Notamacropus eugenii: one gene and its partners. The protein of the gene in region 1 purifies or fractionates together with the protein of each later gene. This does not show direct contact. Links are inferred from orthologs where the notes say so. Each region holds a gene or a part of one and is shown on either strand. Other genes may lie near its edges. The genes, in order: CAMKV, TCOF1, GPC1 and ACIN1.

What was found.
Region 2: the proteins of CAMKV (region 1) and TCOF1 purify together in Homo sapiens (affinity purification with mass spectrometry; 3 studies listed by BioGRID and IntAct, counting the BioPlex papers as one, with this or other methods). This does not show direct contact. The link is inferred for Notamacropus eugenii from reciprocal best matches to the Homo sapiens genes CAMKV and TCOF1.
Region 3: the proteins of CAMKV (region 1) and GPC1 purify together in Homo sapiens (affinity purification with mass spectrometry; 3 studies listed by BioGRID and IntAct, counting the BioPlex papers as one, with this or other methods). This does not show direct contact. The link is inferred for Notamacropus eugenii from reciprocal best matches to the Homo sapiens genes CAMKV and GPC1.
Region 4: the proteins of CAMKV (region 1) and ACIN1 purify together in Homo sapiens (affinity purification with mass spectrometry; 3 studies listed by BioGRID and IntAct, counting the BioPlex papers as one, with this or other methods). This does not show direct contact. The link is inferred for Notamacropus eugenii from reciprocal best matches to the Homo sapiens genes CAMKV and ACIN1.

What each region holds. Positions count from the first base shown.
Region 1 is NC_092872.1:5,862,250-5,869,704, reverse strand, and holds the start of CAMKV (caM kinase-like vesicle-associated protein), read right to left. Parts: upstream 3,115-7,455; 5' UTR 3,047-3,114; coding exon 2,952-3,046; intron 2,347-2,951; coding exon 2,215-2,346; intron 1,656-2,214; coding exon 1,581-1,655; intron 968-1,580; coding exon 829-967; intron 64-828; coding exon 1-63. UniProt on the Homo sapiens protein: Does not appear to have detectable kinase activity.
Region 2 is NC_092872.1:378,240,464-378,248,011, forward strand, and holds the start of TCOF1 (treacle protein), read left to right. Parts: upstream 1-4,469; 5' UTR 4,470-4,601; coding exon 4,602-4,709; intron 4,710-7,548.
Region 3 is NC_092873.1:53,653,960-53,661,905, reverse strand, and holds the start of GPC1 (glypican-1), read right to left. Parts: upstream 3,182-7,946; 5' UTR 2,875-3,181; coding exon 2,712-2,874; intron 1-2,711. UniProt on the Homo sapiens protein: Cell surface proteoglycan that bears heparan sulfate. Binds, via the heparan sulfate side chains, alpha-4 (V) collagen and participates in Schwann cell myelination.
Region 4 is NC_092878.1:10,067,073-10,074,141, reverse strand, and holds the start of ACIN1 (apoptotic chromatin condensation inducer in the nucleus), read right to left. Parts: upstream 3,128-7,069; 5' UTR 3,108-3,127; coding exon 2,970-3,107; intron 1,678-2,969; coding exon 1,612-1,677; intron 1-1,611. Other genes in the region: C7H14orf119 (uncharacterized protein C14orf119 homolog), read left to right, coding at 5,388-5,807.

The DNA of each region.
Region 1 (7,455 bases):
ATGGAAGTCGCTGATGACAATCTTGGAATTCTTCAGCCGGTTGTAGTATACCAGATTTTCCAACTACAACCAGAACACAAAAGTGGGAGAAGATCCTGTGAGATCCTCTTGAGAAATTACCTAGTGCCCCCAAGACCCACCCCTTCCTGCACCACTGGAACACTATGCTCTTTGCCAGAGACATTGTCTTCCACCCCAGCTACAGTTCCCTTCCTCCCTTCCTCCTGCCCTGAATTTAGTAGAATGGTAGATTTAGAAATTATCTAGTTCCTCCCTCCCATCATCATTTTACAGAGTTGGAAACTGAGGTACAGAGAGGGTATGATATGGAAGGTCACAAAAGAAGGAAAGATCAGAGCTGGGACTGAGGTGCCCAGACTCCAAATCTAGGGGTCTTTCAGATCTAGAACCTTTATTCTAGGGCCTTCAAATCCCCAATCCCACTTCCTTATAGAGCCAGCTCTCAATTATTTATGTAAATGGAGAGGAACCTCCATAATCCAAACTAAGGGATAATTCCCAAACATGTTTCACTAATTTTTCTGAATATCCTTTTTATTTGTTATCTAAATGCATACCACTCCCAGTAATTAGCTTTCCTGATTACTTCAGCTCAGGCTAAATCACATACGTCCCCCCAGGTACCCACTACTTGATGGCAGGGCTCAGTATAAGGGAGAGTCAACCAGAGATTACAAATTTCCCTGGATATTTTATAGAGAAGATGTTGGAAACCTGGATAAGGGAGAACTGCCTACAACTCCCCTCCCCAGCCCCGAGCCACTCATCCCATCCAGTCCCTTTCTCCACCCTGGGCCAGGGCTACACCTTGAGGTTTCGATGCACAATCTTCAGGGAGTGCAGGTAGGCCACAGCCTCCAGGACTTGCCGCACCACGTTGCTTGTGTCTCGTTCTGAGTAGTATCCCTGGTCTAAGATCCAGTCAAACACTTCCCTCCCTGTGGCCCTGTGGGACAAGGAAACTTAAGCCCTTTCCCCCACATATATTTCCTGAGATACCTCCTCAGTTGGACATAGTAGACCAAGGGACAGGGATGGACTGGAGACTCTGGGAGGACACTTTGTGTATTTGGGTGTGTGGCTAGAGGCGTTTCTTTGATGCCAGAGCTAGAATATGTGTTCCCTAGCTAGGCTGCTCCCAGTTTGACCCAAGATTCTATAGATCTTAATGAGCTTGGAGGCTGGCTAACCTGGAGAAGTTCCCACATGTGTTGGAGCCTAGAGAGAGCTGGAGAAAGGGGCACAGATGCCAGAAAAGAAAGCCTGCCAACCATTCTCCAGGAGAAAGGCAGGATCTTGGAACTCCTCTTGGGGAGCTGGCAGAGTATAAATGGTAAAGAATTCAGAAGGATGAGGTTCTCTCTAGGGCACTGCCAATCTAGGGATAGCTTTTTACTTTGTCTTCCAGGGAGCTCTCATACCACTGAAACTCAGCCTTTGGGCAGGAGGTGGGGGGAGGACATTAGCTGTGGAAGGATGGAGCACAGGAAGATTTCAGGGCTAAGCTAAGGTTGGGTGGATAATTGGGAACCCCAGACTCTACCTCCTTCCCTACTCACAGCTCCAAGAAAATGAAGTATTCTTTGCGGGTCACAAACACGTCCACCAGCTGCAGGATGTTGGGGTGCTTCACCCTAAGGCCAGAGATGGGAGTGAGGAATTGTAGAATCTCAGATTTGGAAAGGGCCTCCAAAGCCACAATCCAATCCATATATGGACATAAGATCTCTCCACAACAGGAAGGAGGCAGGAAAGGCCCTGAACTGTTTTTCTCCAATGGATTTTGGGGGTGGGAGCTAGTCTGGGGCTCTTCTTTCTGAAGGGGAGATGGGGAGGCAGGCACAGGAGAGGCTAGGGTCCAAAAACCACCAGGTGCCAGGGGCAGTGACCAGCCATCCAGAGCGAGTGAAGGGGTCACAGACCTGGGCTTGAGGACCCTCTGGAGCCAGGGAAAAGCTCTCCTTCCTGCCCACACACCACCTCCATTCTCATGCCTTCTCACTCACAATGTCTTTTCTTCTCCTTGCCTCTGTTCTTTCTCCGTTTTTTTCTCCCTTCCCTTGCCTTCCTCTTCTTCTTTTTCACCCCCAGCCGCACCTCCAGCCGCACCCCCACCCTCACCCCCACCCCCACCCCCACCCCCGGGTGTCTGACCTGCAGGGCCGGGCTGAGAGGTCAGTGCCGAGCACTCACATTTTCAGGATGACGATCTCATTCTTGGCCGCTTTGCGCACCTTCCGCCCGTCTCGCTTTAGGAACTTCTTACAGGTGTGCAGCTTTCCTGTCGCCTTGTCCTTGGCCCGAAAAATCTCGCAGAACTCTTCCCTGCAGCCCAGGGCCCTCTTTAGCCTGGGTACATCCCCCACCCCCACTCCCGCCCCCTTCCCCACGATTATATGATCGAATGATTTTAGAACTGGAAGGATCGTAGAGATCTAGTCCAACCCATGTCATTATCCAGGTGAGGAAAAAGATGCCTAGAGGGATGGCGTGACTTGTCCCAGGTCATACACATGAGCAGGAGTTAGAGCTCAGACCCTCTGATTTCAAATCAATCTCGCTCTCCTTCTCTCTCTTTCTCTTTGTGTCTTTCTCTCTCTCTGTCTCTGTCTCTTTCTCGCCCTCCCTCCTTCTCTCTCTCTCTCTCTCTCTCTCTTTCTCTCTGTCTCTCTCTCGCCCTCCCTCCTTCTCTCTCTCTCTCTCCTCTCTCTCTCCTTCTCTCTCTTTCTCTCTGTCTCTCTCTCGCCCTCCCTCCTTCTCTCTCTCTCTCTCCTTCTCTCTCTCTCTCTCTCTCTCTCTCTCTCTCTCTCTCTCTCTCTCTCTCTCTCCCCACCAAGATGACATCCCTCTTTTCTACTTCTCCTCTTTCCCTACTGGTACCCTACCCCTCCCAGATGCCCTGCTCCCTTTCTCCAGGGCCCAACACTCACGTTTTGATGACCTGCCCCAAGTCATATCTGTCTGTCACCTCAGATGGCTGGTTATAATCCTTCTTTTCTCCCAGAGTCACACAGCCAAACGGCATTGCCAGGCCCGGTCTGCAGGAAGGACAGAAGCATAGTTTTCCTGAGAATGGGGTCCTCCCTACCCATAGTGCACCTTCCCTTAGGCTCAAGCAGGGGTGATCCCACAGATCCCTTCACCAATTCCATTTTGCCAGTTCATGGTTGTCCAGACAAAAACGCCATGTCTCCCAAACCCAGAACTCTGCTTGCTTCTTCTCCTCCTTCTCCCCTCTCTGGGTCAGGCCTGTTCCTCCATTTGCTCTCTAATAATAACTATAATCTCCATTTCCAAAGCATTTTAAGCTCTGCAGAGTTGTCTCCTCAAAAAAACAGTCCCATAAGGCAAGTCTTGTAAATATCATTATCTCCATTTTATAACTGAGGACCCAGATACTCAGAAAAGTCAAGGGACAAGACAAAGTGTATACACATCTGAGTGTGGATTTGAACCCACAGCTCCTGACTCCAAGGCTACTTCTGACCATAGCATGCTTTTTCTCTGAGCAACATGCTAATTCTGAGAAGTGTGTTATCTCTGCCAGGTTGAGGCTGGGCAGAACCCAGAAATAGGAGTTGGTAACTCCCAACCCAGAAGTCTGACTTGAATGTATTTTTGACTCAGAGACTAGTTCGACTCCTTCCCCGAACCCTGCCTGCAGCCCAGCACCTGCTTAGCTGGGGCCCATTCCTTCCCACCTCTGACCACACTGCCCACCCAGGCCTAAATCAGCTGAGCCTCAAATGCCATCCAGAAACCTGCCCCCTTGGGCCCTGAGTTAAGCAGCCTGCAGATTTTTCATCTAGATTTACAAAGGAAATTGGGGCTTGATTTTTCTCTTCTAGAAAGGGTTTGTTTCACAGGGCCTTCAATTTGCAGGATTTGTTTCCGTCTGGATTTAGATCACAGACTTTAGGCCTGGAAGGGACCTTAGATCATCTAGTCCAATGCCCTCATTTACAAGGGAGGAATCGGAGCCCCAGAGAGGCGCTGGCGGGTAGCAGAGCCAACATTCAAACTCAGTCCTCTGATGTCAGAGCTGCTTCTACGATGCCACTCCCAGGCTTTTTTAAAGGAGTGTTTAAAATAGGATTTGATTTACATAAATTTTATTTATATGCAACTTTTTCAGGAACAAATCTATTGAATAAGACAAGGTCACCTTTTCAAACAGCTCTTTGTGCATGGTTCTGTACAGAGTGCCCTGCGGTGTGTCAGACCTGTCCTCTGGTTACACTCTGAGAGCAAATGCCAGGTTCATTTCATAGACAGTCTTCTCTAAAGTCTGTATTTCTCCCCAGTCTCTGTACACAACATGCCTTTGATAAATATTTGAATTGTTGCATGGGATATAAATACATAATACATGTTTTTTACCTGACCTACAGTTTCATTGACAGAGGGAAACTGCAGTGAAGACTTTCATTGTCCAATACAGACGGGTATCTTTTCTGCAAGAGCTGCCAGGGCCATTGAGAGGTTAAGTGACTTGCCCACAATTTCACAGTCATTCTGTGTAATAGGTAGAGCTTGAACCCAGGCCTTTCCGACCCCAAGGCCAGCTAACTATCCACAGCACATGACTGCCCCTCACATAAGACATACGTCCAATAAATGACTGAGATCATCTGATTGAATAATACTTTATACTTATCACATGATAAGTTGTATTAATTTATGTTTACATGTCTTACCTTCCCTATTAAGCTATAAGCTCTAAAATATATCTGTGTCTCTGCCCAAGACCTACCTTGAGAACATGTACATAGTCAATACTTAATGAAGAGTTTGTTGAACAAATGAATTTACACATGGCAATAGTCAAGTAAGCTAGAAGTACATTTTTGCAACAGAGAGCTTAGAAGACCTTGCCCCAATTTTAATTTGGGTGGAATGGGGCAAAACCCTTGCCCCATTCAAGTCTAGCCACCCCCTCAGGATTGGGCCCAGGGATTATGTCTGGGAGCTCAGGCTCCTATTACTCCCTCTAGCACTGCTGTAAAAGGGCCCGTGGGGAGAATCTGTTCCCAATGGAACACAGATTCTACGGCTCTCTGGGCAGTTTCCTCAGCACAATTAGTATATTGATCACCTTTGCAATAGTGAAGGACTATCAGAAGTAGGTAGGGGAGTCAGCAACACAAGCCTCATTCTCCTTCCATTAAAGTGGGAGTTATTCTCTCTCCCCACTTCCACATCTGACTTGCTAGGATGTCTCAATCTATGTCTAGCAACTCTGAGGTAAGCAATGAATTGTCCGTTACTAAAGGAATGTCTCCTTAGTACTCTTGCCCAAGAGAAAGGAAGAAGCAAGGTCCTGAGTCTTTGTATGCCCCCATCTCCTGGGGACAGGCCCAGTTGACTCTGAATGGGGCTAAGAGGGAGCATCTTAGCTCTCTTGATCCATCATCAGGAGAGTAGAAAAGGTCTAGAGACTCTTCCCCATAGCTTGTCAGACGGCCCCTCTGTCTGGAGGGGAGGAGAGGAGTTAAGGAAGCTTAGAGCCTCTGTAATTTGTCTTCCCCACCTTGACATCTCTATTCCTAGAGCCGCCAGATACCCTTGAAACCCAAATCCTTACTCCTACATATAACAGGTTTCCTAGCTTCAAGTCTCTCCCCTCTTCCTGTTAATCCTCCATACCACTTAGTAAGTGGTTCTCCTTAAGGGCAGGTCTGACTATGTCATTCTCCTACTCAGTCAACTCTGATGGCTCCCTATTACCTTTAGGTTCAAGATCGGATTCTTCTGTTTGGTTTTTAAAGACCTCCATGAGCTGGTCTCAACCTAGCTTTCCAATCTCGTTGGACATTCCCCTTCTTCCCCCCTGCCCCACCCACTATGTGGCCAGATTGATCTCTCTCTCTCTCTGTTTCTCACACACAGCCTTACATCCCATGCCTTTCAGCTTTGGCACTGGCCATTCTTCACACCTGGAATGCACTCCCTCCCCACTTCCACCTGATACAATTCTCCTCTTCCTTCACATACAGCTTCAGTGCTCCCTTCTTATCCTCCCAGTTATTCTTTCTCAAACCAAACTGTACCTAACTTCTATTTATTTGTCTTTATTCTCTCTATGTTTATTCCACATATAATTATATATGTACTTGTCACCTCCATGAAAATGCAAGTTCCTTCAGGGTAAGGATTGTTTCATTCATCAGAAGCAGCTGATAAAGTGGATAGAGTGCCAGACCTGGAATCAGTACAGACCTGAGTTCAAATCCAGCCTCAGACATTTACCAGCTGTGTGACCCAGGATACCTGTCTGCTTCACTTTACTCAACTATAAAATGGAGATAATAACATTACAGTGAGATGATATTTGTAAGAGTAATCAGTAGCTGGCACATAGTAGGTGCTTAATAAATACTTATTCCCTTCTCATTTTTCAGTTTGAATGGCTGATTTCTTTTCTTTTTTTTTAATTTTTTGGTGTGGGGAGGCAAAGCAATCAGGGTTAAATGACTTGTCCAAGGTCATACAGCTTGTAAGTGTCAAGTGTCTGAGGCCAGATTTGAACTCAGGTCCTCCTGACTCCAGGGCCAGTGCTCTACTCACTGCACCACCTAGCTGTCTCCTGACTGATTCTTAATCTCCAATGTGCCTTCCCGGGCACAGAGCACACCATATTGAGATATAACCAAAAGCACAGACCTGGACTTTGGTCATTTATTAACCATCTCACTCTCTGGTATTCTCTGAGTGCTTTGTGAAGAGTTTCCTTTTGGCTCTGTCACATGCTACTTAGTGCTCCATTTAATCATGCCCTGCACAGGAGGATGAGACCTGTGTCATTTTCATCGTTTTGTTACTGGTGCCTAATGTGAGGCTGGTGTCTTTGCACAGCCCTTCCTCACTTCAATCCGATTCATTTGTAAGTTATGGTGTCACCTTCCTGATGTCATGGTTCTCTTTGAGAATGAAGGACAAAAACCCAACAACAGCCTAGTACAAAACCTTGCGAACAGTAAGCACTTAATAAATGCTTCTACCCACCTGAGCCTGTTTCCTCATTTTAAAAATGGAAATAGTAATTAATAACAATAATTAATAACAACGGATATGAAAGGGTTATGAAGGTCCCCTCGGAAGCTTTATTGTGGAATGGGTTGAACAGTGCCTCAGGGCTACAGCCAGTGGGATTGACAGAGAGGAGAGTGTTCAGCAAATAAAAAGCAGCAAACCAACAATGGACTGGGTTTCTCAAGGGTCCAGGAAGAAAAGTGAATTCAGATGGTGCTCCATTTTCTGTCTCAGGAAGAAAAAACCATGATAGATTTCATTCTAAACCAGGGGACCATTTTGCCACTATAATACAAGTTGGGGCACCTACCAGGCCAGAATAATTCTGATGTATAGAGATCTGGGCTTAAAATTTAGAGTCTAGAATTTCAGAGTCAAAGAGACCTCAGTCAAAGAGACCTG
Region 2 (7,548 bases), about 370 Mb from region 1:
ACTTTGTTGGGGTACAGGCTCTGGGGAACCCCTTTGAACTCTTCTTGAATCTTCTCACTTGATCTTGAGTTCCTCTGAGGCCATAAGGCTTTTGTTCTTGCTTTGACCAATTGCCTCCAGCTGATTCCCATCCTCCATACCATCAAAATCCCATTCTCTTGCTTCTGATCCTTAGTCACCCCAGTCCCATCAAGATCCTTCTTAGACTCCTCCTCAAGACCCTCCCTAGACCCTTCCTCCCAGACTACTAGACCACCCCTGGATCTCTCCCACAATCTTTCTGTATATAAGACCCATCCCATTTCCATGAAGGTGCTCAGATTCAATCTAGCTCAGACTTAGTCTGTGTCAGATTGTTCTGGCCTGCTTATCAAAACAAGCGTCACAAATGCTCATATTCCTTAGGAGTCTACCCAATATGGTAAACCTTTAATAAACTTTGTTTTTCTCTTTGGCTGAAACTAGACTTGGGTCAAATATATTTGATCAGGACCTGGCATGTTGGTATTTTGGGGTTCCCAGAATCTCAAAACCCTTTGGGGTTTCACTTCAGTATTCAGTCGACACAACTGAAATGACTGAACAAGAACAACAAAAATGGCAAAGCCCATCTGTACATGTGAAGGACTGAAGGATTTGATACTTGGAGTATTGACTTCCTGTTCACAAATATTGGAAGGGAAGGAGTTGAAGCAGCTTGAGCTCAGAGGACATTAAGAGGTTTATACATTGATGTAATCTGAGTTAACTATTTTGGGCTGGCCAGACACATGAAATACTAGTTGCCCTTCTTTGTAAACTGTGGTCCTATGGAAAGGATGACTCTCACATTTAGGAAAAGATCATAGATTCAGAGCCAAAAGGGATCTAAAAAGTCACCGTTTCCAACCCCTTCCCTTTGCAAATGAAGACTGAATAAAATGATTTGCCCAAAGTCATACAGATTTCATATAGAAGAATCAGCATGCAAATCCAGGTCCTCTGGCTCCACATACAATGCTCTCTCCAAATCACGTGGAATTGGCCAGGTTGAGGTGCTGAGAAAGCAAGGCTTAGGAAGAGAGTTCAAGCATCACAGCTAAACCTAAATCCTAAATCCTAAATCTTTGCAACGTATCAAAATGTCTTATTCCTCTACTGAAGCACCATTAAACTCAAATAGAATGGGGTAGGGGTGGGGTGCTAATCTATGCATACAAATTCTTATGGGTTTCATGTTTTTGTTGCTATTTTTCAGTCATATCTGACTTTCCATGACTCTGTTTGGGATTTGCTTGGCAAAGAGACTGGAGTGGTTTGCCATTTCCTTCTCCAGCTCATTTTACAGATGAGGAAACTGAGGCAAACAAGATTAAGTGACTTGCCCAGGGTCACACAGCTGGTAAGTGTCTGAGGCTGTGTTTGAATTCATGAAGATGGGTTTTCCTAATCCCAGGCCCAGCACTCCGTCCATTGTGCCACCAAGCTGCCCATAATGGGAGAGACTACATGAAGATAAATAGATAAATGTAAGATTCATACAGAGAAGATGAAATATAATCTGAGAAGAAAATTCTACCAGATGACGAGATGGAAAAGGCCTCCTGGAGAAGGTAAGATGAATTGAATCTTGAAAGAAGCCAGAGAAATTAAGAATTAGAGAGGAGAGGAGAAAGCAGTCTAGACACTGGGGACCATGGGTGCAAAGACAAGAAGATGGGAGACAGAGAAACAGCAAACAATCCAGTGTGGCTGGAGCCCAGAACATGTGGAAAGGAGTACATGCAGAAGGAAACTGGACAGGTTATGAAGAGTTTTAAATGCAACTGCCAATTTTATATTTAACCCAATGACTCCCTATAGCTTCCAGGATGAAACACAAAATGCTCTGTCTGGCACTCAAAATCCTTCATAACATTGCCTCCTCCTAATGATGGGGTGATGGCACCTGGGCCCCTAAAAGGAAAAGACAGTGTCTCTGAATGCAACCTAATCCCTGAATTTTCCTCACACATTTCAGCAGTCCAGATCACTGGCATCTTGCCCAAGCCATCTGGTCCAGTCCAGCTCACCTAGATGATTGACAGTCCTTTCACAGTCCCTCTTGGCCCACCCCAGACTTCTTTATACCTTTCACCATCCACCAGGGCCACCCCAGGCTATTTACTACTCCTTAATCCTATCCACATCTTTTCACTGTCCCTTTTTTGTATATGAGTATCAGTCTCACCCCCATTAAATTACAGATATACTAGGAATCTCACTGGCCATTACTGGCATTTCAATAGACTGCCCCTTGACTGGAATAAGGTTTGAGTCTATGAATTCATTCCAGGAAGACTCTGCCTTGCACCCTGACATTTCAGGGTTTCCAGTAACCTCAAACCACATCATTACCTTTCTAGTCTCCTCCCTCTCACACAGCACATACTCTTCAATCCAGCAACATTGACCCCAATTGCTCTACAAAAGACATTCCATCTCTTTTCTGATCTTTTTCTCTTACTGCCCCTCATCCTTAGAGTGTTCTACCATGTCAACTCCACCTATTGACTTACTAGCTTCCTTTAAGTCCCAAATAAAATTCCATCTTCTCCAGGAAACCTTAGTACAATTTGAAGCTTTAATAAGCTTACAAAAATTATTTTATATTGGTTATCAAAATATATTTTTTTAAAAGTTTAGGATCCAAGTTTAAGAGCCCTTGCTCTATTCCATGATGTCTGTGTGTGCATTGATTTAGCACTAATCCTTTCCAGATATGACATTCAAAGTTCAAACATATCTGATAGGACACTAATGATGCACCCCTAAAAGGCCCTTGGACTTTCCCACATGGCTCAGGTCCCTTCAGCTCATCTGAGGCTCTTCTCAGCATAATCCTTTTAACTGCCCTTTCATTGTGGCCCTCATTGTCTGCACCCTAGACCCCCACTCCTTGATTCCATCTAGACCCGCTCCTTGACTACTGTGTAAAAAGTCCATCTTGCCTCTATTAAAGTGTTCAGATTCCTTAAGAATCTGGCCCGCTTGCATTAAGATATTGAAAGACTCAGATTCTTAAAATCTTGCCAATCCCAACCAGTGTTCTAATTAATTTTGTCTCTGGCTGAAAGAAAGCTTCAGAGGAATTCATTAGAGGTAGGCCCCTGTTATTTGCCCTTGAATTTCTGGGTCCCAGCACTCCTAGACATCAACAATACCCATCATTTGTTTCCTGGATGAGTGGGAATAAGGCATGAGGAGGGTCCTTCCATTTCCCCTCTTCACCTCAAATAGAAATCCCCATTCTCTATTTAAAAAATAAATTTTATTAGTATGTTTTGTTTTTACATTGTCTGCATCTCTCAATGTATCCCTACAGTCCTTATAACAGAATAAAAAAGGGAAGAAAACATGTCAGCACTGTCTGCCCTAACACATATCTGGATCAAATGTAACAAAATTATAAAAAGATCCAGCAGGATTCAGAATGAAGACAGAAGAGAGGACACTCCCCAACCTACCCCTTCATGAAGGTGAGAGGTCTGCAGGTTTTAAAATGTTACACTTATTTTCAGACTTTACAATGTATCGATAAGTTGGAGGTTATAGACTGTACAAGTCCCCACCCACCTAGCACAAAGCCAACATAATTACCATATAGTAACTGTTTCTCTTTTACGCAGGAACCCTGAGGGTCTTCCCTCCCAGTCTGATTTTTTTTTTTTTTATTAAAGCCTCCATCCTTTGAGTAACTACTTAAAGAAGCCTATTGATTGAATGGGTGCATCTCACTCAAAGTGAGAATGTGATAAGACCTTAGCCTGAAAGGGCCAGGTTCTCACACTGCATCCTAGGCCATCTCCAGCTGTCCTGAAGAATATCAGCTCACTGGACCCAGATAGCTCCAGAGGAGAAAGTGAGGCTGGTGACTGCACAGCCCTCCCTCACTCAAATGAAAGTCAACTGCAAGTCATGTCATCATCTTGATGTCATGGTCCTCTTGGAGAACGAAGGAGAAACACAACAACCTGTACAGGTTTTTTCTCAAAAAAAAAAATTCCATTTGTTGTTATAGGAGGATAGCTCTCTGGGAGGGAGGATACTTGGGACAATTATGATCATGCAAAAAAAAAAAGATAGCAATAAAAGCTTATTTTCAATTAATCAATACACTTTACTAAGCACCTAGTATAAGTGCCAATCAATCAATAATCAATAATCACTAAGCGACTTCTAAGTGCCTGTCACTATGCTATAAAGGTGGGGATAGACAAAGAGGCAAAAGGCAGTGCGTGCCCTCAAGGAGCTTGTAGTCTGTTTATCAGGAAAAGTCTGACGTTCTGTCCCGAGCGCCATGGCCAACAGTCCCCGGAGAACCGCCCCCATTTCTCCCCAGCCGGGTGGAGCGCTCTGAGCCTCAACCCAGGGCCCCAGAGAAACTACATTTCCCAGCACAACCCAAGGCCAGGATAAGACTCTCGGGAAGTCGGAAGTAGTAGAGTGAGGTCTAAGGGCGGAGGGGCGGAGACGAGGGGGAAAAGTTGTGCGCGCGAGCCTGCCGGAGCCGATTTGCAGCAAACCTTCGGTCCTCGTGCGTCCGGGCCCGACAGCACCCGCCGCTGTCCAGCCTCGCAGACATGGCCGAAGCCCGAAAGCGGAGGGAGCTGCTGCCGCTCATCCACCACCACCTGGTGCAGGCTGGCTACGTGAGGGCGGCGCGGGAGGTGAAGCTGCAGAGCGGCCAGGTGAGGAGGAGGCAGGGAGGGAGGAGGGAGGGAAGGGACCCTCGTGGCCACCTGTCTAGTCCCCGATCGGATCGCTGCCGAGCCCGGCAGAGCTTCCAGGACAGGCTTGGGAGAAGGGGGCAGCTTGGCAGCATCCCCGGGGTTCGCCTGTCACACCAGACAGCCCAGAATCGTGATGCCCTCATGTCTTGAAGTCCCCCTTACTGGGTTCATCCTGCACGGCTTGTGGCCTCAGCCCTTGGAGAAATACTTGATAGCATGTTTTCAGTTACTGTGGAATGACTTGCTAAGCAGAAGATGGCAGAGGGATAACCGGAAAGGAGGGACAGTGTGGATGGCCAGGGTGAAGAGGAACAGGAAAAGCCTATTGAAGAACTGGCTGGTAATTGCCCTGTAACTCTGCTCGGCATGTATGGGATAAGCCCCAATCTGAACCCTGTCATTACAGCAGCTGATAGCGGTGTCCGAGCCCTGCGTGTGCACGAGGGGAAGACAGGAAGCGTGTATCCACTAGAGATGTCAGGAAAGGTTGGCCATGTTTCCTGGAACTGACACGTGCTGCTAGATCACTAGCAGATCTTGGGAGGGAGACGCTGAGAAGGTTCTGTTCCTACATGGCTGTCTGGCTCTCTTTGCTAGGAAGGCAGATCTCTGGGTAGTTCTTGTTCTTCCTTTGGGCCTCCTCCTAACTTTACCTACTGAGTTGCAGCGTGGCAAAGTGAAAAATGCCCTGGATTGAGGGCTAGACACACCCGGCACTGCTCCATACTTAGTGTATGACTGGATCAGTTACTTAACTTGTTTGAAACTCTGTTTTCTCACTTGTAAAATAGAAAGGATTAGATTAGATTAATTACCTCCCAGGGCCCTTCTCTGAATGCGGAAGAGTGTGGCAAGGGAAGGATGTTCTCTGGTGACATTCTTTCCAAAATACGCATTGCAATGGTCTTGGGTTTTACCCAGTGGAGTCCTGGGGTTTAATTATGGTCTAGGGTAAATTGCTTACAAGTGATAAGACTTCCTCTGCCTTGGGCTGTCTTCTCATATGTAAAAGGAAGGTTTACATTGAAAAGACCCCGTAGTTAACTAAGGGCTCTGGTTCCTTTGTACTTCCTTATTCCCGCTCAGTTTTCCAAAACTGTTTCTTTCTGATTGTTTTAGCCAGAAAGGACCTTGGTAGAGACTTCCTAGTCTCATCCTAGAGAATAAAAATCTGAGCTCCAGACAAAGAGAGCAGATGGGGAACTAGAAGCCAGGTCTCTTCACAAGACACTTTACAGGCTAACTGTCTTATTTAATCTTTGAAACAACCCTGTAAGGTAGGTATTACAGATTTTAGTCCCATTTCACAGATGCGGAAATCAAGGTTCATAGAAGTTGTGACTTGCCCATGATCCCCCAACTGTCAGACATGGAACTGAACCCAATTCTTCCTTACTCTTAGGTCCATCATGCTACCTACCACTCCATGCTGTCAGGATCCCTTATTAGCATTGGACTTCATCCTGAATTTCATTCCTTGGAGAGAACTTTCCAGTTAGCCCATACCCCTTACCTTCTCTGCCCATCTCCTTAGGATCTTTCCTTCCCTGCCCCAGTTATTTTGTATCAAAAAAAAAAAAAAGTGAAACTGGGAAGGGAAGACCCTCAGGGTTCCTGGGTAAAAGAGAAACAGTTACTATTTAATATTTGTATCTCTCTCCCTCTCCCTCCCCCTCAAAATCCCCTGAACCTAGGGAAATACATGCTGCATAATAGTTGCTTAATCCTTACTGAAGAAGTATGCCCATGTACCTTCTGTTCCTTCAGGGTACTTACTTGAACTACTGCTCTGTTTGAATGGGATGCTTGTTCTGGAGGTCTGACATACCCTTAGCCTTCTTCTTTTTATCCTCTTTTATCTGTTAATTTTTTATTCTGCTATCAAAGTGACCTCTTGAACTCATCCTCCATCCCATTCAATAAACTCCAGGGGCTCCCTATGGCATCCAGGATTAAATATAAAATAGGCTGATTGCTACCTGAAGCCCTTCACGACCTGGCCCTGTCTGACCTTTACAGTCTTCTTACGCCTTACACTACATCCCATATCCTGTATCCCAGGGACACAGGCCTCCTCCCTGTTCTTCTCACCAGACATTCCATCTCCCAGTCATCTGCATTTTCTTTACCTGTCTCCTGTGCCTGGAATACCCCAGCCTCTTTATCCCAACTTGTTGACTTTTCTGGGTTACTTCATGCCTCAGCTAAAACCCTTACCTCCAGTGCACAGTAATGTTAGTGCTTTCGCCCAGTGGATTGTCTCCGGTGTGCGCCGCATATAACTCGTTTGTACATAGTTGTTTGCCTGTCGCACTCCCCCCACCATTACTTGCTTTTTTCCTGTCTTTATCACTTAGCATATAGTAGGCACTTAATAAATTACGCTTGCTATTGTTACCCATCCTTTAAAGCCCACTTCTTTTTTTTTAAAATCAAATTTATTATTTTTAACATTCTTTTCTTTTTAAATTTCAGGTTCCAAATTCTCTCCCTCTCTCCGACCCCTCCCCCACCTAATGAGAAGGCAAGCAAAATGATATCAATTATAATTGTGAAATCATGCAAAACATATTTCCATGTGAGCCATATCACACAAAAAAACAAAGTGATAAACTCTACTTCATTTTAGACTCAAGAGTTCATCAATTCTGTCTCTCTGGAAGTGGACAGCATTTTTTTCATAATGAGTCCTTCGGAATTGTCTTGGATCTTTTGTATTGATCAGAGTAGCCAAGCCTTTCATGGTTAATCATCATTACAACATTGCTGTTACTGTGCACAGTGATCTCCTTCTCAT
Region 3 (7,946 bases), on another chromosome or scaffold:
GCTTTCCTTATTAAGCAGAAATGCCTGATGGGCAGACATTTGCCACAGAGAAGACAGAGCCTGTCCGTGCTCAAAATCAGATGGAGATGGAGTCCTATCATAGGGCTTACTGGGTTTAAAATGTGAAATCACATACACATGTCTTGGCTGAGATCTCCTTAAGCGATTCTCCACCCCTTGGTGTCTCAAGCAGAGTAGGAGCCAAAGAAAAGCCTGGATATTCCAGCTTGGAACCTATCATTAAAAGGTTTCAGACTATAAAGTATCACAGTGAAACTGAGTCCTTACTGGCCAGAAGCTTCCCATTTTTTTTTAAAGCTTCTCTCCCATAATCTCACTGCTCTCAGCAGAAGGAGGTATCTGGCAGGAGTTCTGCACACCCAATGAATAAATGAGTTCAAAGGTCAATCACCCACTTAAGAACAGACCTTCTCTTTTTTCAGTCAGAAAAAAAAAGAAAAAAAAACAACAAACAAACCAGGAATATCCTTTAAAAGCACAACACCCCAGCAACTGCATCTCCTTAAAAGCAGAGAGTGTTACATTTTTGTTTTTATAAGTTTCTCACTTTGGCACATAGTAGGTACTTCATAAAGATTTAGTGATGCTTTCATTAGGAAGATTGCTTTAATATGGGTTTTCAGTCTCATTCCATACTTGGAGGGTGACCCAACAGCTTCCATAGGAATCCAGTTTCCCCTGGTCCTTTGCTGGCCCCTATACCTGAAACTGCAAGCCAGGCCCCCAACTGGCAAAGGTCAATGAGTGGTCCAACTCCACCTTCCTGTCAGTATCCCTGGGATGGATCCAAGAGAGGAAGAAGGCTTGCAGGGGGCCTGCTACAGCCTGTCCCACTCCAGAAGATCCTAGATGTAGAATTGAAAGCGGCCTCAGCTCACCCTCTCATTTTAGAGAGGAGGAACAGGAGGCTTGAGATAGGGTTGGATTAAAGGTTCACTTCTGACTTGGAATTCCTATGATTCTTTGTCACTCTAAGGCTATTTTTACAGACTCAAAAGACCGTCAGAGATAGAACTTCAAAGGCCATCCAGTTGATTTTACTGAGGAGGAAACCCAGGCCCAGGTAAGCTAAGTCTTAAGTGTGTTTCTACCACACAGGTGGTAATCCTGTAATAGTCTAACACCTCCTCCTGAATCCCCTTCCCCCAACCAAGGACAGACACCTGCACCAACACCCTTTGGAGAAACCTGGTTTTAGCAAGTCCTTTGCAAACATAGACATCTTGCTTTCAACAGGTATCATTCTCCCATCAACCCCAACGGTCTCCTGGGAAGGCCAGCACCTCTCTCTCTTGTCCCCAGGTTAGGGATTCACCTTCTGCTTGAGCAGGAGAGGGCAGGGAGTGCTGCCAGATGCCTGTGGATGACTGAGGGACGGTTCCTTATAAAGAAGTGACAGTTGCTGAGAGAAATCCAAAGGGCTTCTCCGGCTGCAGTTAGCCAAGGCTGCTCCCTGGGGGTGGGTGGCTCTGCCTGACTCTTCGTCAGCGGCCTCCAGCCATCTCTTTCTCTCTCCCAGAATGTAGGAACTGGGCAGATGGCTCTCAGCTGTGAGCCATGAGGTTAGGAGAAAGACTTCCCTGGGACAAGCACCCCCCTGGCTGCCCACAGCATGGGAAGGGGCACTCCTTTCTGCTCTCTGATCCACAATAAAAACTCATCTGCAAACACAGAACAGAATTTCACCAAGTCTCTTTTTGCCGTTTAAAATCTCTAGCTTGGTGAAAAAACAAACAAACAAACAAAAAACAAACTGAAACGCAACAAAAACAACAAAAAAATGGAAATCCTTTATCCATCCCCGGCACCCCTCCCCGCCCCCAATCATCTCTATCTCTTGGGACAGAAGCCAGACACCTCCTCCAATGGGGGTCTACTTCCTCACTGAATCTCCATCACTAAACACGCTGTTTCCATCCCAAATCCAAGGCAGGAGAAAGCCCTTCTAGCGGTAACCTTGCCTCCCTCTCGCCCCCTACTCTCTTCTCCAGGATCCCTTTTCTCCGCGTTGTTGCTGCCCGCCTCCAAGAGCCCCATCCCCTGGGCGGCCTGAGAGCCAACTTGTCCAGGAACTGGCCCTGGCCCGGGGTGGCGGCGACTGCTGCAGCTCCGAGAGGATCTGGCCCGTCTGTTCACCGGGAGAAGCCTGGGAGAGGCCAGTCCCAGGGTCACTCGGGCTGGGGGAGGCCCAGGGACCACAATCCCCGGTGACCGACCACTCACTTGTTCGGTCTCTCTGTCTCCAAGACAAATGGCTTTTCTGCCGCTCCCATGCACTTTTCTTCCCCCCCTTTAACCCTGAGCTTGTACGGGTGGGAGCTAAGATGAGCCGGGAGAACTTTCCGAAGCGGCCGCAGTGGAGGAGGCTGGGGATGGGTGGTGGGGGTGGTGGGGGTGGTGGTGGTGGTGGTGGTGGTGGTGGTGGTGGTGGTGGTGGTGGTGGCGATGGCTGGAAAAGCCGGTCCGTCCCCTGCCCACCTGCCCCGAGGCTCCGATCGCAGGCGTGCCCCAGGGCTCTCCCCCCTCCCCCAGAGCTGCAGCGGGCCGCCTCCGCGAGTGCTGCCCCTGGGAACTCAGTCCCATTCCCCGTGCCCCCGTCCCCCCTCACCCCATGCCCCTTGGCCGGTCGCCTTGGCCGGGGTGGGGGTGGGGGCAGCTGGCGCCCTCCCGCAATGAATGGCCCCACTCACCGGAGATCTCCGCCTGGGGCACGCCGCTCAGGCTGAAGCCTTTGGCCCCGTAGACCTGGCGGACCTCGGCACAGCTCCGGCTCTTGCTGCCCCCCGGCTCCCCGCGGGCCGAGGCGGCGGCGGCCACCCAGAGGAGCCAGCAGCCCCGCACGAGGAGATCCATGGCCGGCCGGCCGGCCGCCGCCCTCCCGTCCGTCCGCCGGTACGCCTGTCCCTCGCTGCGCCCCGCCGCCGTCCGGCGGGCGAAGGGCAGAGCCAAGGTCCCGGGGCGCCGGGCTCACTGCCTGGAGGAGGTGGCCGGGGCGGGGAGGGCGGCGGGGCAGCAGGAGAGGAGGAGGAGGATGACAACAAAAGCCCGGGGCGAGTTCCCCGGGCGCAGCTCGAGTCAGGCACGGTCCGCGGCGGCGGCGGCGGCGGCGGGAGCAGCTTCAGCAGCGGCAGCCGCCAAGCGCTCGCGCTCCGTCCCACCTTCGGCCCCACCCCCGGCCCGGCCCACCCGGCGGAGGGGAGAGGAGGAATGGGGGGGTGAGAGGCGGGGGCGAGGCCGGCGCGCGGGGGCGGGGCGGGGCGGGCCCAGGCCGGGCGGGGCCTCGGATGGGCCGGACTGGGGATGCGGGGAGCCCCACGCTCCCTCCCGCCGGCCACTCGGTGTCCGCCTCCGTCCGCGGCGCTCTTTTCCTCTCTCCCTCCCAGAGAGGCGACCTCGGGCTGGCGAGGATGCTGCCGGGGATTGGGGGGGGGGGGGGGGGGGAGAGAGGGCGGGATCTCGGGGGGTGCCCAGTGCAGGGCGCACACGCGCCCGATGGATGGAGAGCTGGAGAAAGGGATGGAGAGTAGTCACGAAGGGAAGCGCGGGACTGTCTGACTCTGGGGCGGATATCAGGATCCTGAGGAGGGGGTGGCGGCCAGAACCTGGGACTGCACCCTCGTGGGGCTGGCCGTGGGGGTGGGGGACACCGAGCCGAGCGAATCCGACCCGGGGAGGGGGCAGTGCCTGCTCCCTCCTGCCCGGAGCTTGGCGCTCTCCTTCTGGGCTCAGGGCGGCGGCACTACCTGCAAAAAGGGGGCGGGGGTGAGGGGGGTGAGGGAAAGAGCGGGGTTGGGGGGGCCGAAGGAGGGGAGATTTTTTTTTTCTGAAGCTGAGGCAGGGCTTCCCCCGCCGGACGTGGCGTCATACCACCCAGGCTACCAATCAGAGGCTTCCCCCACCCCCAGCCCAAGTCAGCAGCAACACCACCCGGCGCCCCCACGTCCCCCTTCCCTCCTAGGTCGGCTCTCCAGTTAAGAGCTGACATTGATCTTTCCTTACGCCCGGGCTCCTCCATCCACGTGCCCTCCTTCACTTCTCCTCTGTCCACATCCCTTTCCTCTAGTCTTCTATCCACCACTCTGTGTCTACACACCTCCACCCACTTCTTTCCTCCTCAGGCAAACCACCCTCTTCTCAGCATGCTCTCCCCCTCTGCCTCGGTTTACGCCCTGTGCCTTCTGACCTAGGTGCATGCATCTTCCTGTCTCTATACATACTCTCTTCTCTGTTCAGCAGCCCTTTCATCTTTCTCTCCATCCCTGCTTTCGGTCCTTCACGTACGCCTCTCCCCTTTTCCATTCTACAATTGCCACACACTCTCCTTTCTTCTGCTCTCTCCTGCCTACGGATCCACACCCTTCTCCTCCTTGGTCCACACACCCTTATTTCTGCTCCTTATTCCTTCCTCCCGTCTTCCATACTCCCTTCGCTTTCTTCCTTCAACACTCTCTTATTTCCTTCCGTTCCAATACTCCTGCCCTCTTGCACCCAGACATCCTTCCTCCTTTAATTCTGTTGTCCCTTCCCCCCATCCCTATCAGAATTCAAGTGTGACTGACTATCCCTGCCCCCCACTCCCGCCGCCCCTGTTCCTCTTCTGGGCTTTCATCATGAAAAGGGAAAGGGGCAGGCTTTCGACCTCCGCCACCCCCTATCCCTGCTCCACTATCCCCCAGGGGAGAAGAAGAACCTCAACAAATAACCAGGATATAGGAGAAACACTGGACCCGTGATTTCATTAGTGTAGGGACCTCCGGGATGAGGATTCTCCTTCTGTCATCAATTCAGATCGGAAAACGTTCTGCAAGTTACTTTCTTTGGATAGTTGTCTCTTCCCCCATCCCCTAGGCACCCTTGTGCTTTAGCACACCCCTGGAGAATCTGATCTCTGGCCTCTGATGTCACTCCTGAATACCTTCCCTTACCCAACAAATCCCGAAAAGGAGGCGTGCTTCTTTGGAACATCTTAGGACCCGTTACTCCCTGCTGTGTTACCTACAATGAAGTGTGATCTCCTCGGAAGGTGGTAAACTTGGCTTTAAAATACCTGAGATAGAATCCCAGTGCTGTCACTGTGTGACCCTGGACAGATTTCTTAACTACTCTGGGCCTCGTTTTCCTCCTCTGTAAAAGAATTTCGACTAGATGATGTCAGAGGTCCCATCCAATTCTCGATCTAGGATCCTATAAGCCTCACTACTTCCCGGACGCAGTGATTCTGCTTACTTGTTGGTCTATGGATCTTGCGCTACTGTTCCTCTATTTACATGTCTTTAGGGGAAAGGGATCGGAGTCACTACCTGCTCCTTGACTAAGTCAAAAGGGGAATGCTGTAAAGGATGTTGGGGAGAAACCTAAGAGAAGGAAGACTTTGAGACCTCCCTCCCACTCCTCCTCCCTGTCCTGCCCAGTCTGAAAGTGCAGAAAAGGGCCTGATCCCACTACTGACTGGCAGGTGATCTTTGACTTACCTTTTTTGACCTGGGCAGGTCACCGTCCTAAGGTGCCTTGCATCCCTCTGAAGATGTCTCAGAAATTGACATTCAGCATAAGGGCTATTGTAGGTGATATGGCATAGTTGACAAAATACTGTCCTAAAGTTAGGAAGATGAGTTCAAATCCAGCCTCATATACTTACTAGCTATGGCAAGCTGTTTAACCTGTTTGCCCCACCTGAAAAATGGATTCATTCCAAAATACCTGGAAAGAGAATGTCCAGCCTTCACTTGACCACTTCTAAAGAGGGGAAATCCCTCTACCTCTGGAGACAGATAATTCTACTTTTGGAGATTTCTGTAAGAAATATTTTTCTGACATCAACCTAAACTTATATCTTTGCAACATTAACTCCAAGTTCTTCCTTCTGGGAACTATATGGAAAAGGTAGAAGACAGGGAAGAAATAAAGAAACCTGAGGTTTTGAGCCTGTATAATTGAGAGGATTGATAGGACCAAAGCCTGGGCTTGTAAATTGATGCTTAATCTCTCTGTGCTTCGATTTCCTTGGCAGGGGAATGAGTGGGTTCGACTCGATGGCCCCTGGCACCCCTACCTATTCTAGATCTATGACCCTAGTATGCTTCTCCATTTTATTTTCATTCAGAGACGATGATCCCCAGCTTAGGATATTTAGAATTTAATGCAATTCAAGAAATAGCCGTTTTATACCTCTTTTAGGTGACAGCCCTTCACATATTGAAGACAGATATTACTCCATCTTTTGCATCACTTGACTGAATCTTCATTTCTTCCGGCTAAACACTAACTGTTCTTTTTTCCATTCCACATATGGCATCATCTTTGGGTCTTTTACCGTTCTGGTTGGCCAATTTATCAGTGCCCTTCCTAAATTGTGGTGCCCAGGATAATATCCCAGATCTCATCTGACCAGGTCAGAGTGGCAAAGGGAAAGGAATACATATTTATTAAGCATCTACTATGTGCCAAGCACTTAACAAATGTTATCTTGTTCAATCCTGACCACAACCCTGGGAGGGTGGTGCTATTATAATCATCCCTGTTTTGTTTGAACATATCTTCCATATTGTGCTGTCTTATTGGTTTTTTGACCCCAGTGTAAGACTTTGTGTTTTTCAAAATTACAAAAGTGTAAGATGACATTTTACACAGACATTTGTCCTGTGGTACTTCTCCCACTTCCAATTTTTTTTCAAGAATCTTGATGTAAGTACCTTTATAAGTTCTTTCACTACCTTGGTATACAGTTTTATTTAGAAATCTCATTCTTTTTGTATCCCCAGTGCTTAGCACAGTATCTGGCACATAGTAGGTGCTTAATAAATGTTCATTGAGCCACTCATTCAAAGGAACTTGGCATTTTCTTACTCTAGCTTTGTTTATCTTGGGTCTCAATTCCATGTTCATCAAATAGAAAGTAAGCTTCTTGAGGGCAGGGATTGTTTCATTTTTATCTTTGTATCCCCAGTGCCCATCCCAGCATAGTGCCCCAGCATACAGTGCATGCTAAATATTTGTTGAATTGAATTGAACTTTGAGCACCATCCTTCTTGGAAAATAAAATGGAAACCTACCAGGGTCACAGATCTAGAAGTTGTAGGAATGACAGAGCTCACCTAGTCCAACCTGCTCTTTTTACTGCTGAGAACAGAAAAGGGTGGATAGAGCAGATGGAGGTCTTGGTGAGGATAAATAATTGGTATTGGAGATATGAAGGAGAAGAAGAGATTGAAGGAGAGGCAATGGAGATCAAAGAAAGGAATTTTGAGAATTTTGGAGACAGGTGAACTGGAAAGCTAGGGTGTTTGAGAAAACATCAATATATATGTGGAAGTCACCAAGTTTGCAGGCTGCCTGAAAACTTGAACTAGGTTGGTGCTATCCATGGTTGAAAGTACGGACTGGATGTGGGAAACATTGCAAATCAGAACTGACAAGACTTGGAAACTGATTGAATGTAGGGGGTGAGGGAGTCAAAGAGGATGCTGGGATCTCAAGGCTGTATAATTGAGAGGATTGATAGTAACAAAGCTTGGGCTTGGGGGAATTGTTGCTTAACCTCTCTGGGCCAATTTCTTTGCAGTAAAATTTTCTCCAATTTGTCTCTAATGTTTTTTTCTTAATTATATTTTCCTCCTCTTACTCTATAAAGACAGTACTTTTTAATTACTTTAATCTGCTTTAAGATGCGGAGGACAGGAAAGGTTTCATGAAGATGATGTCATTTGATTTAGGTCTGGAGGGAAAATATGGAGTTCAACTGTCAGAGGTAAGGAGGGAGAGCATTCCAGGTAGGTGGTACAGTCAACAAAGGCACAGTGATTAGAGATGGGGCCTCTGTGTGAGAGATGTAAGTGTCAAATAAAGGAGCTTATGTTTGATCCTTGAGACAACAGGAAGCCACTGAGGTTTGCTGAACATGAGAGTGACATGATTAAATCTGAATT
Region 4 (7,069 bases), on another chromosome or scaffold:
CCATCTATATGGTAAGAAGACTTATAATTCAGGTTTTTTTGGGTCATGGGAAAATTACTGACAAGAAATCTAACAATCTCTCTAGAGCCCTTAAAGACCATGCTTGTCCTCACACTCCTTTGCTCCTCTACTACCTTGTAAGAACCTTTTTTTAGAGTAAAAAATAATGACTTCAGTAAAGAAACAAAACAAAAAACCAAGTATGTGCTTTTACTACTGTGTTTTCAAGCCTGTTCTTATAAGGCTTAATATTTCACAAGGCCTCGATCTCAGGTAGAGACTTCAGATCAGAAGGTTTATAAAGAATTTAAGCCCATGTTTGTAAGAACAGAAGTGCTAGGTTAGAAACACTACAACACTGAGCATGGCTTAGCTTGGGCCAGTTTCTTGGGTTTGTTAAAGTACCTGGACTAAAGCTTTATGAGCTGGCAGGATTAAGGAACTGTCTGGCTTAATGAGGAGATAACAAGGGAAAAGGTGGGGCCTCTGTGGAGCTTGTTTTTCCCTAGTATCCTGGGACCTAATCTAATAGCAAAACTGTCAATGTTCAAAATAAGAGAAGCCTGGATGTGTTTGTCCTTTAATGTTTTGCTACAGAATCAGAGACTTATCAGAGTTGAAAGGAACTATACAGATAATTTAAATACAGTTCCCCTCAATTTACAAGTTAAAAAACTGGAGACCCAGATAGCTTCGGTGACTTGTCCAAAGTCACGTTACCAATCAAACAATATCAAACTCCTACTATGTGCCAAGGATTGTGGTTAAGAGCTGGGGATACAAAAAGAGGCAAAAGACGGTACCTACCCTCAAGGATCTACTAGAGGAGGCAACGTGCAAACAAATATATACAGAACAAGTTATATACAAGATAAATAGGGGATATTAAAAAGGGGAAGGCACTGGAATTAAGAGGGGTTGGGGAAAGCTTCTTGTAGGTGAGGTTTTAGCTGGGACTTAAAGGAAGCCAAAGAGGTTGACAGTTGGAGGGGAGGAGGGAAAGTGTTCCAGGCATGGGTGACAGCCAGAAAGAATGAATGCCTGGAGCTGGAGGATGGAGTGTCTTATTCCTGGAACACCCAGAAGGCCAGTGTCACAATTAGTTATATCTAAAAGGAAAAGGATTAAAACTTACTTCTTCAAATCTAAGTGATTTACAAGGCTCTTATTAAGGGGGAGAAGTTAGTGGGTGATCTTGTTCTGGCTACCATTTATAAATCTGTCAGTTTTTCATCTTGCCAGTCTTAAACAGGTGTTTGGCCAAACTATTCTAACGGTGGTCATTTCAAATTTACATCTGGTGTCATCAGGACAAATTTTATTTTCTCATCTGTGGAAAATAAGTGATCTGACCTTCTGAACCCAATGGAGGTGAGGTGTTCCTCCTAACACAGCTCGGTTAAACACATACATGAGTCTCAGAAAGCCATGTGATAACTTTTCCTTAGGATTTTGTAAACGACTGAAATGGAATCCCATAACTTTGATACAGGGACATTTCAGAATTACGTAAACTGGGAAAGATTTTGGTACATAATACAAGTTTCAGGCATTGGTGTGTCCACATTCATATCAACAGCCCACCATTATTAAATGAAACTTTTTTCTTACCTGGGAGTTTGGCTGGAATGCAGTGTGAGGTGTTGAGTGTTTCTGTAAATTCTCCAGCATTAGAGCCTGGGACAAAGACAGAAGAAACTCAGAAACACACAAAAAATCCAACCTTCTCCCTTCCATCCCCCTTATCAAGTGAAAAACTAACCATATACGCTCAAATTACACTTCTTGTTCAAGGACTTCCAAGTCCTTTACTAATACTGTTCTCACACAGTTTCAGAAGAACCCTAAAGGTAGCCATGCCTACTGCCCTCCATACAGAGACGCAAAAACTCAAAACTACATAAACTAAAGACGGTTGGCTCCTGTCAGAAAGAACCAAGTCAGTGGCAGATCCAGCTGTCAGGATCCTCAGTTCCTCTGCCCTCAGGGCTCCTCAGGCGGTTACTCTCCAACCTGGCCATGCAGTCCCATTCAATCCAAGAGCCCCCGATGAATACCTAAGGGCTCTTCTTGGACAGAACCGACCCCTCTGAGAAACAGCTGACAGATCACATATGGATCCTAAGTTCTCTGAGATCAGGACCACGTGGGACAGGACTGAATTCAAGAGCAGGTGCTTTCTAAGGGGGTGATATGCCCAAGCGCAAGCCGGCCTGGCTGGCCGTCAGTCCAGCACCCGCCCACCTGAGCCCGGCCGGGCCAGGGCCGCCCTGCCTATCCCGGCCCCGATCCCCTCATCGATCAGGGGCCTAACGGCGACCCCTCCCTGACGGCCACTTCCCAACACACCCACTCCAGTCCAGCACATCCAAGGTCTCTCGGACCCCCAAGGGGCTGGGCTTCCTCCACGGGGGGCAAGGCTCTCCTCCAACGGACCCCCCCACAAATGCCCCCCCCCCCCCCAGCCCCAACTTCACTGTCTCCACTCGGGCTGCCGGGAGGATTAACCCCTTCAGGGCCGGCCTCACCAGGGCCAGCCCCCTCTGCCCCCGCCGCCTGACCCGGCCCAACTGTCACCCCGCCCAAGGACGCCTCCCACTCGGGCCCCCCCCGCCTTCCCACGGGTCGGTAACCCCGGTGGTGGTGGGATTTAACTCCTGCTGCCGCGCATGCGCCGAGACCGCAGACACAAACAAGGCGGGGGTGGGGGAGGAGGAAGCGCAGGACACTCTGGGGAGAGCGGCGCGCACCCTCCCGTTTCGGGCTCGCGCCGCTGCCGTTAAAGGCGGGAACCGGCACGGGCTCCCTCCGGCGCGAGCCCCGCCAACCACCGCGCGCGCGGATCCCGAGGCTCGCGCGGCGGCCTGAGCGAGCTCGCGCGAGCCCGGGGACTGCGCCTGCGCCGCGGCGGCGGCTCGTCTCTACCGGGTCCGCTCCCCTCCGACGCCCCTGCGACGCAGTCTGCTTACCCCTTTGAGCCGCTTGACCAGGGCACTCTTCTGTCCACTCTTGGCCAGGCCTCGCTGTTCCAGTGCGGCCTTCAGGTCGGTCACTCGCAGCGCCTGAAGCGGCTTCCCGTCCAGAGTCACCTCCTCCAGCTCCGCCATCTTGTGTGAGGTACTCGGCTCCCGTCTCGACGGCTTCGGGCATCTTCGGTAATTTCCGCCAACGCCCTTCGAACGTGCCGACCCGACCCCGCCCACCGCCACGGCCAACCCTTCCCCCTCCCCGTCCTCGGATCCGAACGCTCAGCCTTCTCGAGAGCGCTCGGGTATTTCCGTTCCCACCTTAGCACCAATCCGCAGTTTCCATTCTCTCCGTAAGCTCCGCCCCCCGCGCTCTCCTTTCGGAGCTCGGACGTCTCCGTCCCACCGAGCCCAGAACTAGATTGCACTCGTAAACCCTCTGCCCTGGCAGAACCGGATTCGGAGGCATTCGGCTTTCTCCGGACCCACGGCTCTGGAAATAAGGTCCGGCTTACTGGTGCCGAGGCGCCTGGGGGAGTTCGGGGCCTTGTCCGAGGTCCGGAAGTGCGTGGGTTGCCCAGTGGGGTTTGCTGGGAACATGGAGGTGTAGAGGTAGCCGGAACCCACGGACTCCTGTGACTTCCTTCTGGGGTCCCCCGGGGTGACAATAAGGAGGTAAGCTAGGCGGAGGCCCCTCCGCCTCCCTCGGTCCAGCTTACCTTTTATCCGAGCACCGGCCCCACCCTCACTCCCATCGGCTCTGGATCTAGTGAGGAGGCTACCGGGGGTGCCGTGTGGGAACTTTGGGGCCCAGACTTCAGAGATCCGAAGTTCCTCGCTCACCCCCTCAACCCCACCCCATCCCGTGTCCAGCCTTCCCTCCACATCTGGTCTGAAGGGCAGATTGGCTTTCCAATATTTAATGCCCACAGATTGCACTATTAACCTGCATGCTAAAAGGAGCGGAGACCCCCCCTCCCCCCGTTCTGTGCATTGTGACCAGGATTTAGAACTAGGCAATTCGGATGATCCAGACAAGTGGGTTTTCCTGAACTCCCGAGGTAGCGATCCTGTACTTCAATGTCAACCTTAGGAAGACACCTGTGGCAACATTGTAGCAGTCTTCCTTCCTAGAGCTAAGTTTGCATTCTGCCCTGCTTCCCTGTCCCTGGGGATCCTCCCTAGACAGAGTAGTAAGACTGTAGCTGCTGCTGCTGCTGCTGCTAGCTCTGCTGGTGCTAATTTAGCCAGGGCTTGCTTTTTCCATTCATTGACTGCAGTTGCTACATGTCTTTTACATTTGTCAGGAGAAGAAACAGTATCTAAGAGGGACACTATGACTGTTGAATTGCTCGGAAAAAACTGTAGCCTACCTGGATGGATAGCAGTTTCATATTTTCATATTTAAGGGATTTAAAATAACTTAGGTAAAAGTGGATATAGCCTCACACCACCAGCATAAAATCAACAGCTCAGGTATTTGTCGGTAACGTGACAGGAGTAACAGGAGATGGGTACAATGAGTAAAATGAGTAATATATATATTTATGTATGTGTGTATATATATGTATGAAGTAAGTATATAATGAGTAATGAACATAAAAATAAAATGAGAAATGAGTAATATATAATGAGTAAAAATATAAGTATCCATTACATCTTTCCAGATGCTTGGCCCACCAAACCAACCATACTGTTTGTCCTGAACTTTTGACAAAGAACACAAGACTTAACTTTCCTGCTACTCTCTTGCATGACTTTGGGTGAGTCCCTTATATCTCTGTTTTAAAAATTTTTTAGTTGTAAAATGAAACAAGTGCTTCACAGTGAACTAATTAGATGGTGGGTCCCGCATGAAGCATCAGTTACTGTTTGTAGTTTAAGAAAGACTCTTTTCAACATTAAATTTAGTGATGACTTTCAACATTATTCCTTATTCAGTGTCCAAAGCGCTCAAAGCCTTGTGCAGCTATATTTGTTATACAAAAGAATTCTGTTGTTAAATGTATATTCATTTTAGAGGAGACAAGTTAGACCAATATATTTCTTGCCTTTGCCCAGCTTTGGAAGGCTTAGGTAGAAAGAGGAAGAATGAGAGATATTGGTTATTTTGGTGATTATTACAAGGATTAGATCCCAAAGGGAAGCTCTGCATTTGAAGAGGTGAGGAGTAAGGTTGGTAGATTTGGAATAAAATTATTTTAAGCAAACTGTCTCAATGTAGTACTGTTGTTTGGGGAAGACAGAATAGAAAGGGTTGCTATTTATCTTCCAAAATATAGAAAAGTGGGAAAAATAATTTTTTTTATGTACTTGAATAGCTGAGTTTTGTGCCAAGAGCCATGTGTCAACTGTTCAGCCATTGATCTCAGGGAGATCTTGATTTTATCCATTGTAAAACTCGTTTGTTTTATCCTTAGGATGTCGATGAAGTCAGCTGCCTCTTGGATATCCCCATCCTCTTCCTCCACATTAGCCTCTACTTCAGACAATTATTCCTTCCTTTCCATGTCTTACTTCACTTCACAGGAGATGAAGTGTGTCCTACATTGGTTTGCCAGCTGGTCAGATCCCCAGCGTGAGTGTTTCCTACAGGACTTGGTAGCTAAAGCAGTGCCAGGCAAATTGCAGCCCCTCCTAGAGGGATTGGAACAGCTTAGCGTTTCTGGAGCAGACCAACCACCACGCATCTTTGATTGCCAGCTTCGACTCTGGGATCAGTGGTTCCGAAGCTGGGCTGAGGAGGAGCGCAACGAGTTTGTCAGACAGCTGGAGGCTAGTGAGCCAGACTTTGTGGCAAAGTTTTATCAAGCGGTAGCTGCTACAGCTGGTAAGGACTAAGAGGAGTCAGCATCATAAAAGACAATACGACTGATGGAGTTGAGTTGATAGCTTCGGAAGTGGGAGTGCCCAGATGAGAAGGAAATGTCTGGGGATGACATCCAGGTCTGTTTTCAGAGTTATTGTTATTGGACTTATAGCCTATAGATCACTATAGGTTTTAAAAACAAAACTAATCCAAGTCATTGGTTATTATTTTGCTTCTTCCACATAACCCTAAAATTCCTATGACTCTGCTGACTTCCTTTGCAAGCTGTCTCTCAAAAGAATTGAAATATGAGAAACCCAGATCTCCCTAGAGTTGGTCCATTGGAGAGGATGAAGGGTTGGGGAGTAAGTGAAACGCTCTTGCTATGGGAGCAAGCTCCAGGCAATAAGATATCAACAGGGTATCAGTTCAAAGAGTTAGCTAAATCTGGAGCAATGATCTCCTGGACCCTGCTCTGGTGTGGTTTGTAAGCTAAGTGTTAGGGTATCAATGGGTCAGTCAGATGGAGGGCTAGAGTACAGATGATTATTTGCCAAGCCTAAGAGCCCTGGTTTTTATCAAAGTTTCATAGTATTTTTGGAGCCAGTAGCAAGAATTCTTATTTCATAACTTAGTTCTACCAAGTTTATGATAGCAAATGTCCCGTCCTATGGGATGGAAAGTTTATTTTTGTAATTCAAGAAATAATAGGTGCTGGGAATACAGAGACAAAACAAAAGGTCTTTGCCCTCAATTGGCCTACAGGTGCTTGTACCAGAATAAAAGGATGCTCTTGTTAGTCTAAATGATCTCTACTTTTTTCCCCTCTAGGACCTAATATAGAATTGAACTAGAGCCCTGGTAAAGGGGAGCATAGCCAAGGCCAAGCAGAAGCTTGGAATCCTAGGTATAATCCATCTTTATCTTCTTGGTGGTTCCTCCCACTTCTGTAAAGTTTTTGTGACTGAAGATTTCATCTTTTTTTTTTCTCCACTTGAATGAAATTCTGAACTGTGACCCAGTGTCAGGTTTTTTTTTCCTCCCCATCGGTTTGTGACAGAGGAAAAGCATTCTTGTTACTCTTGGTCGGGGGTGGGGAACCTGTGGCCTCAAGGCTGCAGGTTGATCCAGAACCTATGACGAAGTGCTCAAAAAAGGAGTTCAAACCCACATCAGGAAAGATACTAAGAACCTAATGTTTGCCAGGGATTTTTCTAAGCATTTGGAAATAGATAAAAAAAATTCACAAGTCTCAACCCTTGAGAAATTTAGATTCTTAGGGAGAGTGGGAAGG